Linked DNA regions of Danio rerio. The protein of the gene in region 2 interacts with the protein of the main gene of each other region in a pairwise test. Links are inferred from orthologs where the notes say so. Each region holds a gene or a part of one and is shown on either strand. Other genes may lie near its edges.

Region 1 (3,500 bases), on a different chromosome or scaffold from region 2:
GCATCCCTACAGTGCAGCATGGTGGTGTCGGCATCATGCTGTGGGGATGTGTTTCAGCAGCAGGAACTGGAAGACTAGTCAGGATAGAGGGAAAGATGAATGCAGCGATGTACAGAGACATCCTGAATGAAGACCTGCACAAGAGTGCTCTCCACCTCAGACTGGGGCGACGCTTCATCTTGCAGCAGAACAACGACCCAAAGCACACCGCCAACATATCAATGGAGCGGCCCAGCCAGAGCCCAGACCTAAATCCTATTGAGCATCTCTGGAGAGATCTGAAAATGGCTGTACACCGTCACTTCTCATCCAACCTGATAGAGCTTGAGAGGTGCTGCAAAGAGGAACGGGCGAACATCCCCAAAGACAGCGGTGCAGAGCTCGAGCATCATATTCAGAAAGACTCGAGGCTGTAATCACTGCCAAAGGAGCATCAACAGAGTCTTGAGCAAAGCCTGTGAACACTGATGTACAGGTGATCTTACAGCTGCTTATTTTCAATAAATCTGCTGCAATTTCTAAAACTCTCTTCTCCACATGCTCATTATGGGGGATTGTGTGTAGAATGTTGAGGAAATAAAGGAATTCACTCCATGTTGGAATAAGGCTGTGACAGAAACTGAAGCGCTCTCCACACTTCACAGATGCTCTGTATATATTGGATAAAAAATGACTCCAGATCCCAGATTGCAGAAGAGGTGCGCTCTCACTTTGAGCTCTGTTGTTGAAATTGTGAAACTCACCCACTGCCCAACTGAGGAGCTCCATCCCACGATGCAGGACTCCAGCCAGGAGTGGGAGCGTATGTGTGCCCCCTTCAGGATGGTACAGCGCTTCACTCTCACCCCGTCCTCCAAAACCACCCCGGCTCCAATCGTCACATTTGGGCCAATGGTGCAGTTCTGCCCAATCACTGCTGTTGGGTCCTGGGTTACATTTATGGCATGTTTCATTATTTCAGTACAAGCATCAAATTCTGCAGTACAATATACATACTACTCAACATCTTAGAAGATTGTTGTTAACGTTTTTGCAGCCTCTAATAGTGTCCAGTAAAAACCTGCGGGCAATAACAATCCAGAGTCGTCTTCATGTTGTTAGACACATATCAGGCCTCATTCGTGAAACATGAGCATACTATATTTCTGTTAGAAGCTACAAAAGAAAGGTACAACAGCTCCCAATACCACACTTAGATGCTGCATAAACCATCTGTGTTTGTTCTGGTGAATATTTTACTACTCTGTTTTGTTTTGTCTGTCTCTGCATTGCTTTAACCGGGTAAAAGCTCAAATCACTGTCACTCTTTACCCAGCTGTCCAATCAGGGGAGGAGGATTGAGACTGAGCAACAAAGGAGAAGTCAATATTCCTGGTTAGTGCATTTTTATATTCAGTGATGCTCTTCAAAATAAGACACCTGTAATCCCGTAGTGCCATGGATTACAAATCCCAGCAAGCAATGCGTCTCTGCTGGGAAAAAACAACATGTACCACCACAGGTTTTCAAGAGACCCTGACATTTTGAACTTTAATTTGCACATTAACTGTATATTGTTTGGAATTATCAAACATGTTGGAGCCAAACCCTAGAAGGGAGTCCAGAACATTCCACTGCATATAAAGGTCCGCTAGGTCTAGGTCCGCTGCTACTCCGTTTGCACTGGCTGCCAGTTGCTGCTCGCATCAAATTCAAAGCTCTGATGTTTGCCTACAAAGTGACTTCTGGCCTTGCTCCTTCTTATCTGCTCTCACTTCTGCAGATCTATGTGCCCTCTAGAAACTTGCGTTCTGTGAATGAACGTCGCCTCGTGGTTCCATCCCAAAGAGGGAAGAAATCACTTTCCCGAACTCTCGCATTCAATCTGCCCAGTTGGTGGAATGAACTCCCTAACTGCATCAGAACAGCAGAGTCACTCGCTATTTTCAAGAAACGACTAAAAACTCAACTATTTAGTCTCCACTTCACTTCCTAATCTGCAATTGCCTCTTTGAATATACCACTAACTGCACAAAAAAAAAATACTAATACTACTAATACTTCCCTTCTTAGACTTTACAGACCTGAAACTTGCCTATAGCACTTATTCATTGTTGCTCTTAGTTGTGTAAATTGCTTCCTTGTCCTCATTTGTAAGTCGCTTTGGATAACAGCGTCTGCTAAATGACTAAATGTAAATGTAAAATGTAAAGTAGCTGTAATTTATAGATGAGATTCGGCCATGCTAGTTGTGTAAATGGGTACACGTGCACCATTTACACGAGGAACTGGAAGTCATTAACATAGATGTTTAATTACGTAATGTCATGTTTACACAGCAGGTGGCGCAGTGGCGCAGTAGGTAGTGCTGTCGCCTCACAGCTCTCAGGTCTCTGGTTTGAGTCTCGGCTGGGTCAGTTGGCGTTTCTGTGTGGAGTTTGCATGTGTGTGAAAGAGTGTGTGGGTGTTTCCCAGAGATGGGTTGTGCCTGAAAGAGGATCCACTGTGTAAAACATATGCTGGATAAGTAGGTGGTTCATTCCGCTGTGGTGACCCCAGATTAATAAAGAGACTAAGCAGAAAAGAAAAGGAATGTTTACACAGCATTTGTGAATCCAGAGAGTTCTCATGAAGGTCTGTTTTTATTTACTCCTAATCTTCAGTGTTTTATAGGCGAGAGGCTCATTGTCTGTCCATAGCGACAAGTATTTGTCACAGTAAATTTATTAGTATTTTTCTATTAAATAAAAGACTTGATTATATTAAAGTTGAACTAATTTTGAAAGGATTGACTACGACTGGTCCCGCATTAGCATTAGCACATGATTCACCAATCAGACCATTCCCAATTCACTATAAATAACCAGAGTTAACTTCACCTTGAAGAATCCCCCTTTCCACCTCTACTCCTCCCCCTTTTCCTAGATATGGCGACACGGTGGCCCAGTGGTTAGCACTGTTGCCTAACAGTAAGAATGTCACTGGTTCAAGTCCTTACCAGGCCAGCTGACATTTCTGTGTGGAGTTTACACGTTCTTCCTGTGCTCTTGACGGTTCCTTACCCCCATCCAAACACATGCGAGATAAGTGAATCGACTACAGTGAACCTAAATTGGCACCACAGATGAGCTCTTAGCCAGCAGTATATCTGTAGCAAACCCTAATTTGTCTTTAACAAATAAAAACAGGGGAGTTCTCCAGACCTACCTAAGCTCAAACTCCCCTCTCTCCCTGCAAAATGAGGGAGCCCCAGGCTCTAGAGTTGTATGAGCTCAGGGCTCTCTCCCGGGTCAGCATGCCAAACAAGCTTTATAATCAATCATCAGCTAAGAGTGAACTCCTGATAATACATAACCTGTGGAGAGGACGGAGTGAGAGTATTGTGCAGAGAGCAGAAAACAATGAGAAAAAGCTTCACACCACAAGAACATTTCCAAGAAAGCCGGGTCCAGCGCGGAGCCTCTCAGGGGCCTGCTGCCGTACAGATTGCAGGTACATGCACATGCCCGTCAGGAAGTCTT
Region 2 (3,500 bases):
ATCTGCTTCCTTAATTACAACATCACTTCAGAACGGTGTTTAAGACCAAGGTCTCATCTCGAAAGCATTGGCGAGTCTGATGGTTTACAGTCTTTTATACCTAGGGCTGTACAATATATCGTTTCAGCATCGTTATCGCAATGTGTCTAATCCCAGAATAAAAAATATTGTAATGCTAGATTTTTCCAATATAGTACAGCCCTATTTAAAACTATCATCCAACTAAAAGTGTTGTCTTTACTTAGAAAGTGGTAAAAGAGTCCCATGTGGGACATTCTTTAGCCATCTAACAAATCCAGCCTGCTAGAATCCCTTTATAAAAGACAAGCTTAAACAGGAAAGCCAATTAACAAAACAAAATAACAGCCCTTTAAGTTCCCCGCCCACCCCTTCCACTCCTGCCCACCAACCCACGCGCACGCACACATGCACATTTGCATCAGCAGGAGGAAATAGCTGCTCTGCCCATAATTACTACCTCAGCTTCAAGATGCAAATTTGCTTCTACAAGCCAAAAAGTCTGCAGCTCAAACATCTGTCCGCAAACACAAACGAATCAAATCTCGAATGGTGCCAAGCAGTACACAAAACCCATATTGTGTGAAAATGCAGTCACACACCTCTTGTTTCTCAGGTTCAGCGCTGGGTGGGATTTCGTGAGTGTGCTCCTCCTCTTTCTCGGGTTCATCTTTAGATTCAGCAGCTTTCACATGGTTATCCACAAACTCTTTAAACGAGTCCAGATCACGCTTTCCTTTGTACTGATCGATCTGAAAACATACAGCGTATACACAGCTTACCATTGTTGTTCGGTGTAAACAATATAATTTCCTTTGAATAGTCCCCATTAGCCACTCCCTTTGGTAGTAGCTAATGGGGTTCCTGATAAAATAAATAAATAAATAAATAAATAAATAAATAAATAACATTTATGACACCACCTACTGACAATTTAAAAACAATTCATAATTTTTTTTTGGATACGATTCATAGCTATTTTAAATTATGTTGAATATCCAAATAAACATACACATTCGGTCATATGACCAACTCAGGCTAAATTTAAAATAATCATACAATTTAGAATGACTACAATACTCACTTATACAAAACTTGAATGTATATAAAAAACAAACTGGCCTGTGCAAAAGCATAACTGGTCTTTCTATTGTCACAGTGTTTTAGGGGCAGTTCACACAAAAATAAATATTACTATACATCATGTTTCATATCATTTGATATCGATTATTATTGAATATTTTTTTAACAATACATTTAGGAATATCAGGATTTTTAACTACTTTATTTTAATTTACAAAACTTTACCAAGGCAAATAGTTAATAGTCAAAAACAAAAATATTTAAACAAAATCTCTGATCTCTCGTTAAAGAAGAGACTCTTAGACTTGATAAATAAAATGTTACAAAAGTGTGTGCAACTAAGGCAGATCAACTTATGTAAGGTGTGAATAATAATGATACAGCTCCGTAAACAAAAATTATGATAATAAAATCTGAGTTAAGTAACGGAACCAACCATCATTATTCAAATCCATGCTGAACATTACAAATTGTGAAGCTGAATGACTAGATTACCCCCTATGCTAAAAAAAAACTTTCAGATGGGGAGCTAGTGGCTGAGATGCACAAGAAAAAAAAACCAAAGTCACACTGGCGATCCTTTTTTCATGAGTTCACACTTGCAGTCGTTTAAGTATAAGGTGTATTTAAGTACAATGAGGAAACAAAGAGGAGTTGGGATTTGAGTGAAGTATCTAGCCCGGCCCCAGAACGCTTCCCCCCGGGAATGTAATGCTAAAGGCTGATTTATACTTCTGCGTCAAACTTGTTCCTGGAGGGCCGCGTATGCTACGGCGCTGACGCATAGCCCTTCACCGTGGCCGTCGGTGTCGCTGACGTGCACCTCTCAAAAAAATGTAACTACACGTCGCAACAACGCATAGCGCAAGCTCTGTGATTGGTCGGCTTGGTAGCGCCGACGAGTCTGGGCGGGACCGAGAGCCGCGCGCATGGCGCGAGCGATTGTTTACAAGTGTGGAGTCCCGTGAAGGAGCTCCGGATGGAAAGTTTTGTTTTGTGTTTACCTCATGGTTAAAGTTGTTGCACGTCCGCCGGTTCCTGCTTCAAAATGAGCGAGTTTGAGTCACTTGTACATCCAGGAAGTGTTCAGAAAAGCAAAACAGAATCGAAGAAACTCGACACAGAGGAACATTAACACCTCACTGCCCACTAGCGTTTCAGAAGTGTTAATGCAGACCAACAGAGACAGCGCGCAGAAGTATAAATGCACCGCTGCGCGCGTTGCCTGCGCCGTGAGTTACGCCGGTCACTTGAGGCAGAAGTATAAACCAGGCTTTAAGAGGTGAGGTGTCGGGGTGGTGGAGGGATGCTAAAGTCATGAGATGCTGCAGGTAAGACAGCTTTGGTGTATATATAGGGGTTTGTTCAAGAACTGATTTGATAATAGAATAATTGTCAATGACTTATTCGATACTGAAACTTCCTCCCGAAATATGTTCACAAAACATTACTTTTTTTACAATCTCCTCACTGCTGCTAGCCACTGCACTTATTTTTGCATGTGTTGTTATTCTGACCTGAAGTGAGAAGCGCAAACCCTGGCATCTCTTTTAACTAGGTGACCATCAACCGTTTTCTCAGAGGATGACAAACGGACAAACCATTGCTGCAGCTTTGATGCAAGTTTATAGAGAAAAGTCAAAAGCACTGTAGTGTTTGGGTGCGCAGTGTTTGTCTGAGGTAATTAGTCTGCCGTTATTACTGAAATGTGTATATTGCATATAAAGCGTAAAGCAGATTGGTTAATTGTCCTTGCATGAATTGTAGTGCACTTGCAGCATTTGGAAAAGATCATATGTTTTCAACTGAGTGCGCCTTGAAAATGCATGTGCCCGTCCCTCCCATATGTGTGCAGTGCAAGTCGAGCACCTCCATTGAAAATGATAAACCTACACTCTAAGCCAGGGGTCACCAAACTTGTTCCTGGAGGGCCGGTGTCCTGAAGATTTTAGCTCCAACCCTAATCAAACACACCTGAACAAGCTAATCAAGGTCTTACTAGGTATACTTGAAACACCCAGGCAGGTGTTTTGAGGCAAGTTAGAGCTAAACCCTGCAGGGACACTGGCCATCCTGGACTGAGATTGGTGACCCCTGCTCTAAGCTTTTTGGCATTGCTTCCAAAGCACACGCTCAGCAGCCACATTTTAGTAACATTATAGTGATTCATACCGAATCTTTTTATTTTTTTTATTTTTATAATCAAAATTGACAACGGTGTTTGGTCAATAAATACAGATTTTAATCGGCCAGCCCTAGTTCACACCTAACAATTCCTCTCCAATGCGCTACTTTTCTATTGTTTTTCAATTTAAACACACACTTAACAGACGTGTTTGAGAATTACGCTGACGTCTTTTAAAGTGTCACATTTGGGATTGCTGTGTTTTTTGGTGTCA

What was found.
Region 1: the proteins of txndc5 (region 2) and gmppb interact in a two-hybrid assay, tested with the Homo sapiens proteins (2 studies listed by BioGRID and IntAct). The two-hybrid records come from large-scale screens. The link is inferred for Danio rerio from reciprocal best matches to the Homo sapiens genes TXNDC5 and GMPPB.

What each region holds. Positions count from the first base shown.
Region 1 is NC_133197.1:41,298,755-41,302,254, reverse strand, and holds part of gmppb (mannose-1-phosphate guanylyltransferase catalytic subunit beta), read right to left. Parts: coding exon 3,400-3,500; intron 927-3,399; coding exon 744-926; intron 1-743. UniProt on the Homo sapiens protein: Catalytic subunit of the GMPPA-GMPPB mannose-1-phosphate guanylyltransferase complex. Catalyzes the formation of GDP-mannose, an essential precursor of glycan moieties of glycoproteins and glycolipids. Can catalyze the reverse reaction in vitro.
Region 2 is NC_133199.1:8,160,573-8,164,072, forward strand, and holds part of txndc5 (thioredoxin domain-containing protein 5 precursor), read right to left. Parts: intron 771-3,500; coding exon 621-770; intron 1-620. UniProt on the Homo sapiens protein: Protein disulfide isomerase of the endoplasmic reticulum lumen involved in the formation of disulfide bonds in proteins. Can reduce insulin disulfide bonds.